Ovis aries: one gene and its partners. The protein of the gene in region 1 purifies or fractionates together with the protein of each later gene. This does not show direct contact. Links are inferred from orthologs where the notes say so. Each region holds a gene or a part of one and is shown on either strand. Other genes may lie near its edges.

What was found.
Region 2: the proteins of PTPN12 (region 1) and VAPA purify together in Homo sapiens (affinity purification with mass spectrometry; 3 studies listed by BioGRID and IntAct, counting the BioPlex papers as one, with this or other methods). This does not show direct contact. The link is inferred for Ovis aries from reciprocal best matches to the Homo sapiens genes PTPN12 and VAPA.
Region 3: the proteins of PTPN12 (region 1) and PSTPIP2 purify together in Homo sapiens (affinity purification with mass spectrometry; 4 studies listed by BioGRID and IntAct, counting the BioPlex papers as one, with this or other methods). This does not show direct contact. The link is inferred for Ovis aries from reciprocal best matches to the Homo sapiens genes PTPN12 and PSTPIP2.

Annotation. Positions count from the first base shown.
Region 1 is NC_056057.1:45,191,014-45,195,260, forward strand, and holds the start of PTPN12 (tyrosine-protein phosphatase non-receptor type 12), read right to left. Parts: upstream 2,852-4,247; 5' UTR 2,412-2,851; coding exon 2,313-2,411; intron 1-2,312. UniProt on the Homo sapiens protein: Dephosphorylates a range of proteins, and thereby regulates cellular signaling cascades. Dephosphorylates cellular tyrosine kinases, such as ERBB2 and PTK2B/PYK2, and thereby regulates signaling via ERBB2 and PTK2B/PYK2.
Region 2 is NC_056076.1:42,439,865-42,442,560, reverse strand, and holds part of VAPA (vesicle-associated membrane protein-associated protein A), read right to left. Parts: intron 826-2,696; coding exon 652-825; intron 1-651. UniProt on the Homo sapiens protein: Endoplasmic reticulum (ER)-anchored protein that mediates the formation of contact sites between the ER and endosomes via interaction with FFAT motif-containing proteins such as STARD3 or WDR44.
Region 3 is NC_056076.1:46,126,825-46,130,474, forward strand, and holds part of PSTPIP2 (proline-serine-threonine phosphatase-interacting protein 2), read right to left. Parts: coding exon 3,598-3,650; intron 2,252-3,597; coding exon 2,153-2,251; intron 1,225-2,152; coding exon 1,128-1,224; intron 1,007-1,127; coding exon 925-1,006; intron 1-924. UniProt on the Homo sapiens protein: Binds to F-actin. May be involved in regulation of the actin cytoskeleton.

The DNA of each region.
Region 1 (4,247 bases):
TTTTCTTTTTGTGGCAGAGGGGACAAAGTTTTCCTCCAGCTTTCTAGTTAAGAGAAAAAGAGGCATAACTGGCAGATTTAATTATAGCTATTGCTTATCAAGTCACAGAATAAAAAAAGCAAGCACTGTAAAAGAACAGCCTTAGTCATCAAATCTTAAATGCAGAATCACCTAGATATCCCTAGGTATTAGGGAAGAAAAAGAAAACTCATTTAGTCCCGGAGAAACGAAATCTCCAATAGGAATCCCTGACTCATCCCCAAAGCATGAACCCGAAGGCTACTTCCCCTGTACAGGAGTTCAGAGACTGGGCACTTGTCCTGATGGCCTGCATCAGCAAACAATGCCCTTTCCTGACAGGATATGTCCATAGAGAACAAGAGGACCAACATGCCAAGTGGACAGGGTCACACACCTCTCCTTCCACATCCAAAGTAAGACTGTGTTAGACTAGTTTTAAAATCTAAGTAAATATTTTCTTTTATGTTTGCTAGAGAGTAATAAAAGGGGGACTCTGTCCAATTACTGTGATGTCATTTCAAAGATACCTAACACATTCAAAATTCCCAATAGGAAGAAGGAAACATCTTTAACTTTTTCAGATAAAAGGGAAATTGGGGGGGGGGAGATACATGGGCTAAGTATCAAGAGGAAATGTTTAAAATAAACCATAAATTATTTAATCAACATTTTTTACACTTTCAAAAGATACTAACAAAACCAAACTCCTATCTTCTATTATTGGTTTAGGGAGGCGGGAATCACAAAGCTCAACTATACTGTTATGACACTGAGTAAAGTTAAGGGTTAAGAATGTTAACGCTAAAGTTTTACTAGACCAAAGTCTCTTTAAAATGTGAAAAGTATTTCGTATTTCAGTGCGAAAAGCCATTTCACCTGCACCTTGTAAACAATTAAACTGTACTTTGAAACAAAAACTAGCCAATGTTTGCGACTCATTTTTATACACATTAACTGTGTATCTTTTTCACAATCCAGAATTTCAGAGTTAGGTGACTACTCTTGGAGGTGAATCTTGCCCAGAAGCAAAATTTTCCCTAGCTTATTTCCCATTTCCAAACCCCGCCAAGACTAAGGAGCAACCACTTCCCAAAGTCCCACTTCCTTTTCCATTCCCCAGACCTCCAGGGTTTCCAACGCCCCAGTCTTGCGCAATATCCGTAGGAGCAGCGCCGCAACCACCGCCTCCTAAGGCGAGAAACAACCCTAAAGGGAACATTGTCCAGCAGAAAAATAAAGGAGGGGGGGTGGCAATGGAGGAAGTCGACTTCTGGTCCCACGCCTTCGGATCTGACCCCCTCGTAGTGATGGCTCGAGAGCAATTCCACGACCAAGACTTTTAACCTCCTATCCAGCCCGCCAGTACAAGCAAAGGGCGGAAGGGGGAGGGGGGATGTCGGAAGGGGGGTGGGGAGACTACGAAGGTTATCTCCCAGTTCAGGGCTTCAGCCCGTACAGTCGCCTCCGCCCCACCAGGACTATTGTTCCCAAGTTCCCCACCCCCACCCCGGATAGGAAGTGATAGTCACATCCCCTCCGCCTTCGGCAGTATCCCCTAGGGAGTCTGAAGTAGGCTTCCTTCGGGATAACCACGCACCCTCCACCCCCACGCCCTGCCTCTACACACACTTATCCCTCAACCTCAAATCACGTTGACCCCTACACCATCTAAAACCTGGGTCTCAAGAGACAAGAGACAGGACGGCAGTAAATGGAAATCGAACATTCCACGAGATTTCCTATGGACTATCCTTTCTCTTGCATTGGAGATAATACTGCGAACCCAGAAAGAGCAAAAAGTCCTACCCTGACCTCTTTTGAGACCAGCTTGAGCAAAGGGACCCCACGAGTTAAATGCAACCTTAATAGCTCCGTTCCTCAGTCGGCGCTATCCGCTCTCCTTCCTGCCTCGACCCTCCCAGGAGGAGCAGACTGGATGGGGAGATGAGAAGAGCCTACCGGCCTGCACCTCATTCGCCTCCCGCTCCCAGCCCGAGAAACAATAGGTGGTCGCGGGCGGCGGCGCTAAGTGCGGGCTTGGCCAGCGGCCTCTCTTCGCGTTCCGGACGCGGGCGGAAGGGGCCGCGATCGCAGGACGAAAGGAAAGGAGGACGAGGGGCGATCTCACCTCCCAGCCTCCGAGTCAACCCCGGCCCTTGGGGTTGGCGCGCGCCCCCTCCGCCCCTCTCCTTACAGCCGCACACAAAGCGCCGGCGGTCGGGCCGGGCGGGCGAAGAGGCAGTGGGCTTGGATGCCGGTGAGAGGAGGCAACAGCGAGGGGAGGGACTCACCATGAAGTCCCGGGCGAAGTTGTCCTCCCCATTATGGTCCGGACTCTTCATGGCCTGGACCCTCTGGATGAATTTCCTCAGGATCTCCACTTGCTCCATCCTCCCCCGTCCCCCCGGTTGCGGTCGCTGGCCCCCCCGCCGCCCGCCCGCCCGGCGCAGAGCCCGCTCAGTCTTCCCCAGCTCGCGCCCCCTACCCGTCCCGTCTTTCCCGACCCCTGACGCTCCCTGCTCCTCCCCACCGCCCAAGGCAGCGGCGGCACCGGCGGCACCAGCCCGGCTCCCGATCCTACAACTTCCAGGAGCAGCCACTCTCCCACAGTAGTAGACGAGCCGCAGCGGCTAGCGCCAACCCCAACCCCCAGCTTGCTCCATCCTCCTTCCCCGCCCTGCTCCTGCTCCGTCGGAGACGCAGCCACCGCCTTAGGAACACGGCTCTCCGATCGCCCTGCCCCCCCCACCCCTTCCCGGTTCCTCCTTCCCTCCCTCCAGACTAGCAACCGCAGCCGCCACTCTCCACGGGCGCGCCCCCGCTGCCACCCAGACGCGCGGCCCCGCGCAGCGGCTAGATCCCCGGGGCTACGCCGAGCTGAGCCACGCCCGCTTGCCACGCCCCCAAGCCCGCCCCGCCTGTCCTAGTCCGTCTAGGAGTGGCTGGAAGGAGCTTCAGCCGTCAGCTGGGGGACTTGACCTCATTTCCGGGGCGTGGTTCCGCCCCAGCAGTTTGCCGGTCTGAAGAGAGCTGGTTGGAGGGAATTTGACTCCGCCGGACAGACGCTAGTCAGTTGGAGTAGGACTTGAATTGGAAACTGCGGTCTCACCGCCTTTTTGTGGGAAAAGTACATTTCTAGACTGCTTTCGCGCCGCCGCCGGCTTTGAGCTGGGACTGCAAGTCCCGGCCCGGCAAGAGTCCAGGAGTAGGGGCGGGAGAGGGCGGCGGTGGGAAGAGAGGCATGCTGGGAACTGTAGTGTCTTCACGTTCGCAGCAGGTACGTCTTCATCTTAATGTTGACGGCAATTAGATCTTGGCACTTTGGGCAATGGCCACGGCCAAGAGAAACGAAACGCTTCTTCAGTGAGAGGACTTTTTTGCTTTTTTGCAAATCAGTCTAAAACCTGGTGAAAGAGCGCCTGAGATTCACAGTGGTCCTAATACATAACACACGTTTGCTGAATTGGAGAGAATTTGTCTTCTTGCCTTTAGATTCGGAGCAACTCAGAACTGAATAATAGATTTTTCACCCTAGACTGCATCTTTGTAAGTCTTCTAGTAATCAAAGAAATCTGTCCTAGTCTTATTCACCATTTTACAATGAAAGTGTTTGCTCATGGTCCCCCAGTATATTCTTAGCAGAGCCCAAACTGGAACTCAGATCCTTTTTCTCTCACCAGCACCATGTTACCTCTCACTAAGGAGCGTAAACGTGATAATGTGACTGAAGTGAAAGACCTGATCCATGAACTTCTCTAGGTCACTTCCTTTTGTTCACTATACCACAAACAATGCTTTTTCCGGATAAGATTGGTTAGGCAATTTGGTTAAAATAAATATCAGTAGCAGGCCCCGTTTCCCAGATGAATGTTTAGAAGCACCGTGGAATTTAATAATAAACTTGAAGAAAACAGGTGTGAGTAGCAAGATCCAATTTCCTATTTGTTTTAAAGAAAAATATTTCTTTTTAAAATAATACAACTGATACATACAAATCTACTCTTCTCAGAAAGAACCACTTCCAGATGTGTCCTTCCAATTGTCTTCCTGTGCATTTGTATACAGGTATGTGGATATAAAAAGATACAGTTTTGTCCTGTATTTAAAAAAAGAGTCCCCTTAGAGGAATAGTTTAATTTCTGAGGTGAGCTTTTAAAATAAGGATCTGGAGTATTTTACTTTAATCAGATTATTGAGACTCACTGGATATGAGAAAAGATTAAGAT
Region 2 (2,696 bases), on another chromosome or scaffold:
GCTCTCTGAACACCTGGGCTCAGCAGCCAGGGAGCACACCGTCCACCAAACACAGAACTGAGGTCATGGCAGGTAAAGGAAAAGGGCAAACAGCAGCCCCCTTACAACTGGATGGAGCTGTGTGTGGTTGTGAAACAGAGGGCATCTCTCCACCCTCCAGGTAGGTGTTCAGGGCAGGGGCCTTGGAGAGGGGCTTGGGAGAGGAAGAAACAGCCAGAAAAACCATCTCAGCACAGGTCAAGCCACCTCACAGGGGCCTTCAATGGGAGCCATGCACGAAATTTAAAATTTTCTAAGCCCATTAAAAAGGTACTAAACTTGATAAAATTAGCTTTAATAATGTATCTTTTACTGAATCTAATAGAATTCAATATTATTTCAACATAACAATACAAAACAGGGATTTTTCTTGCACTATGTGACTCACAGCACATCTTAATTCTGACTAAGCACACCTTGGTGGCCCGCCCTGGACAACGGGGGCCCCCTCGCAGGGACTGCACTGCTGCTGCAGCCGATAATGCCAGGCCCGGGCGCGGAGGCTGCACCAGCGAGTGAGGAAGCAGCCAGGGCACGCCAGCCCCCAGCGTCCAGGCCAAGGGCGAGAGGGGCGCCGAGGCCGCTGCACAGTGGGGCCAGGCGGGCACTCACCCTCAGGAGTCGGTTCTCTTCTGACAGCTTCATCATCTCCCCCTGCAGCCGCTTGCACTCCTCCACGAGCTTCCTCGTCTCGGTGTCACTGAGGGAGACACTGTGCGGCTTTGGCGCGGGCCCGTCCTGCTTCGCAGCGTTCAGCGGAATGGCTTTGCTGGGTTCCATGTCGTTCTGCATCACAAAGGTAGCAGGCAGGGAGTTCGTCAACTGACAACTCTCCTTAATAGTTTTAAACAAAACTTAAAACTCCACATCCCTGTCCAAGAAATTATTTACACAGAAAGTTCTGACAGGTTTCAATTTCATTATTAAAGTTTTTAAAATGTCCAACATCTGGTCCCCAGTGACCAGCTCTACAGGACAACAGTGAGCATGAGTGGTCACCAAGGTCCGAACACATGGTTCCCTGCTCTGCATCCACCTCCCACCCCAGAGCAGCGAGCATGCAGCTCACATCGTCCTCCAAGATTCTTCCCTACAACACCTCAAAGTCTGGGAGAGCAAGAGTCACTCGTCTGTGCGTTCACCCCTAAAACCCAGCACCCCAGCCAGTGGTCACTCAACAAGGACACTGAGGGATGCCTGCCCGGATCCATAAAGTTCACAGTCAGTGCTGATTCTGCAGCCCAAGCAAGGTGCCGGAGGGCAGGGGGACACGGTCGAAACCACTCAAATGAAATCAGACCACCTAAGAGAAATGCATGAGAGAAAACCCAAGTTCTGTTCACAGAAAAGTCATTGGAGGACCTGGAGCCTGAAGGGGAGATAATGAGCACAAACACATGTCATGGGGAAAAAGCAGGCAGGGAGAGTCCACCTGACAACTGCGCTCAAACATGAGTGACCCCCCCGTTTATGAAGTAACACTCCCTGCTGTCAGTCATGAAATTCAGTGCAGAGCCAACGTGGTGCTCTGGCACTTTAAATTACAAGCCCCATGTCTTAAGTCCGGCCAGCATTGACCCATGTGACCCGGCGGGCCCCCAGGTGCCCTGAACCTCCTCTCCACCTTCAAGCACCCCAACAGGACTAGCACAGCAAGTCTTGTCTTCAATTAAAATTTTACTTGCTAAAAATTTAACTTTTCAGATAGCAAGGTATAAACTGCTTCAGATATAAAATTCTACCAAAAACATTTTCAAAATCAACTTTATGGCAGGTTCCACAGTACTCATCAGAGGATTTAATTACAGTCAACACCTGCCACAGCATCCCAGTTCTGGAATTCACACTGAGTACAAATGGGGACAAGATGTACTTCCTATGAAGGGGTTGTGCTCTGATTGCTATGTCTAGATCCATGTAAAAATGAACACCACTGATCATACTGAGGTCCCAGTCAACACTCAGATCCCCATCTCTCTCCAAAGCATCCCCGCCAGGCCGGGTACAAGAAGCTTGCTTCATGATCCTCTCTGCTTCCGTGCGAGCCTCCTTCTCCCCTCTCTTCCTTCCCAGCCAAGCCCCTCAGGTCTGCTAAAAATCCTGTTTCAGATGCTGGTACCCTCCACCAATAGCTTCTCTCTTCCTTTCCTTCACAGTCACTAGAGTTCACTTCGGCACGGCTTCCCAAGTGACTTCTCACTTTCCACCTAGAAGCAGCCCAGCGTCTGGGAACCAGGATGGCACACGGCCTTCTTTCCTTCGTGAAGACAAACGGTCCACAATACCACAACTCTGCACACTCCCGGTCTGGGGAAAGAGTATCACCCTCGTGCCAGAAAACTGACTAAGAAATTAAGAGGAGATACAAAAGGTCAACCAAGCAAAGACAAAATGAGCACGAGGACTCATCAAATTCTTCCCAAATGGCTTTTTATTTTTGAACAAATTTTTGAAATTCTAGAAAATTGAGAATATGAGAGAGGAAATTACCTCCCATTCTCTCATTAATTCAACATAACTATTATTCCCATATTATCTTCCAATATTCTTTCATATGCATGTTTTATAAACTCAGCATACATGTAACTTTTAAATCTTTCTTTATTCATTTATATGTACATCTTTTAAGTGTCATTCTAAACGACATGATGTCACTA
Region 3 (3,650 bases), on another chromosome or scaffold:
TCCCTCAGAATCCTTTATATCAGGGGCAGCAAATCTTTTCTGTAAAGGGCCAGAGAGTAAATGATTTAGGCTTTGCTGGCCACATGGCATTTCTATCTCAATGCTACTCATCTCCACCGTGAAAGCAGCCACAGACAGAAAGGAAACAGATGAGCAGCAAAACTCTACATACGAACATGGATGTTCACGTTTCATATGATGTTCACGTGGCACAAAAGAGTTTCCTTTCCATTTTTCTCAACCATTTAAAAACATGAAAACTGTTCTTAACTTGTAGGCCCTACCAAAACAGGTAGGCTGGATTTGACTCACAGGGAGCCAGAGTTTGCCAACTCTTGCTTTCTACAAGAAAGGTCTAGGATTGGGACTCCCCAAGTGGTCCAATGGCCAAGATTCTGAGTTCCCAATGCAAGGAGTGTGGGTTCAATCCCTGCTCAGGGAACTAGATGCTGCAACTAAAGATCCTGTGTGCCGCAAGTAAGACCCAATACCACCAAATAAATAATAAATAAATAAGTAAAAATCAATAAATATTATTAATAGAAAAGTATAGGATTCGTGCGTAAGTAATAATAATCACACTCAAGCATGACACAATCCTCCTTGAACTATGACTAGTACAGTCCATTTAACATTTGTCCTAAAAACACTATTTCCAAAAATCCAGAAACCTCTCTAAGCAAATGCAATGGTAGACACATTCTGATTCTAACATGTTCATATTAGAATTGGAACACTAAAAATAAAAATGCTCATTAAAAGAACTTTTCTTTTTTTGGCCTCATTGCAGCCTGTGGCATCTTAGTTCCCCAACCAAAGATCAAACCTGAACTCCCTGCAGTGGAAGTGTGCAGCCTTAACCACTGGACCACCAGGAAGTCCCTAAAAGCACTTTTCTTCATGTGAAAGAAAGCTGGATATTACCTTGCCGAGTTAGGCCCTGTAGCCTTTCCTGGTGGGGCTGCATTCTTCTGGGGGCAGTAAAAGTTCTCATACATGATGGGTGCTAGGGAATCATCAAGACATAAAACGTTAAGAAGCTGATGACTTCCATTCTCAATGACATGTGATACAAAAGACTGATAGAATTGCTTGAATAGCATCCCCCAGCCTATCACTCCATTCACCTGGTGGAGTCTGTCCAGTTCTGCGGTGATTCACAAAGTACTCAATGTCCTTCTCGATACTGCACATCTCTAAACTCTTACGGACTTTTTCATACATCTAACAAAAAAAGAAGATAAATCAAGGTAGAGGTACATCCATAAAAATGGTGGCATGGAGTATTAAAATGGGAGGTTTGATGAATGGCTATTTTCCAAATTTTGTCTTCAAAAGAAAAAAAAAAAAAGATACCACAATGTCCTGGACTCACATAGAGGGATTTCTTTGATGTATAGCTGCTGTTACATTTTTTTTTAAAGATAACAAAAAATAATATCTTTGTAGCAGCACAGTAATCTTGGCAGAAAGACTTTTAAAAAAATGGATGGGATGAAGAGAATAGATACCAAGTCCCATGACAAATCCTACACACAAATGCAAAGACAATTGGAGACAAGTCAGTCAATCCTACCTGTCTTCTGGGTGTTATTCTTCAAAACTGAATGTCCCATCTAAGTGCGAGTGGCTATTTCTTAGGAAAGAAGGTTGTGATAATTTGATTCTGGTCCCTCTGAGACCTGGGAACCCAGGACAGTTGCTGTGCATGAGTTAAACCTGGGTCACTAGTGGCCCTTAACACTGCTGACGTTAAACCTTGAGCCCTGGAGTAACCATTAGCCTGGGCGTGGCTCAGCCTGCTAGTTCCTGGTACTTACTGTCCTGGAGTGACTCCGTTTCAGACTGGAGCAGTCCCTGGGACTCACATTCATGTTGTTACATCTCTGTTTTCCTTAAATTAAACTGCATTTGGGTCCTTTCTTTGCTCTCCTGCCCTAATTGTGAATTTCTCAGTGAGAGACTCATGATGGTAAAGTGAGCCAGGAGTCAGGCAAGTTAGGTGTTTATCTGGGTCCATACTCACTGTGTATGCAGTCACTGTACCTACCTGGGCCTCTAATGACGGGGGATGAACTAACAGATGTCTCTGACTCCTCCCACTCTACGAATCTAATATGCAGAGCATCCTCCGTGGATAACTCTGACTCACCTCATCACTTGTGACGCATTGTTGTGAGAGCTGATTCATATGTAACCACAGTGCATTTCGAAAGAAGTTTATTCGTTCACATTCTTGAGTCTCAAACACCTGTAGAAACATGTACACACATGCAGAGAAAGGGTCTAGACTGGCTATGATGTAAGAAACAATTTCAACCTTGAATTATCTGTAAGCTTATGGTCTCATTTAGTGTACTCCCACCCACCGCTCAGGAAGCTCATACACTCTTAACTCCGGCAAATGGATTTTAATAACACACTAACACAAATAGGACTGGATACAGTTTTGCACATAAGAGGTGATGGTGAACCCAGCCGTCAGTGTTCTAACCTGAATTGTGGCTCACATTCTCCACTGCCTAATGGACATCTGCATGTGGGTAGCTTGCCAGAGCCTCCAATGCAAAGTTTTGCCCTCAGGTTTCCCTGATGGTCCAGTGGTTGGGGGTGTGCTTTGCATTGCAGGACACATTTCAATGCAGAATTTGCAATGCTAATTCAGTCCCTGGTCTGGAAAGATCCCACCAGCCGCAGAGCAGCTAAGCCTGCGAGCCACAGCTACTGAGCTTTTTGCACTCTGGAGCCCACAGGTCACCACTACTGAAGCCCACAGCCTCCAGAGCTTGTGTTCTACAACAAGAGAAGCCCATGCACCACAAACTAAGGGATGGCCCCCATTCGCCTCGACTTGAGAAAGTCTGATTTCAGAGGCCTGGAATTGGTCTGATAATAAGATCTGCATCTAACAAGGATGTTGGTACAGGTCCCAGGACCTCCCTTTGAGAACCACTGGTAAGAAAAATGTGTAGACAGGGTGACAGAAACTTGAGGAAGTTTCCAGGTGGAGTCTTTATTTTCTCCGGGACATTGTGAAGCAAGTGTTGAAAATGAGGAGGGCCATGGCAAAACGAAAGGTGAGAATAAAAATTCTAAAGCTAGCTCTGTTGCTCCCTGCACCCCCTTGTCACAGAGAAAGGCGAAGCTTTTGGTGGGAAGTCACCAAGAAAGTGAAAGTGAAAGTAGCTCAGTCGTGTCTGACTCTGCGACCCCATAGACTATACAGTCCATGGAATGGTCCAGGCCAGAATACTGGAGTGGGTAGCCTTTCCCTTCTCCAGGGGATCTTCCCAACCCAGGGATCGAACCCAGATCTCCCACTTTGCAGGCAGATTCTTTACCAGCTGTACAAGGGAAGCCCTGGACGTCACTAAAGAATTAATTGATTCAGCTGCTTCATACCTGAGAACCAAACAGAGCAAGGCCATTGACAGAATGGGACAGCACGATCAGGATGGGCAAGAAGCAGAAAGACAAGGTTTGCAAGAAAACATTCCAGTCCTTTCATCCCCTACTTAAAGTCCACATTTCTAATTTCCCTTCAAGCAATTCTACGAAAGTAGAGGGAGAAAGACCCGCGCGTTTGCTTCCAGGTACCTCGCAGGCCTTGATGTGCTCGCTCTGCCACTCATTCCGGACCTTGTCCAGCG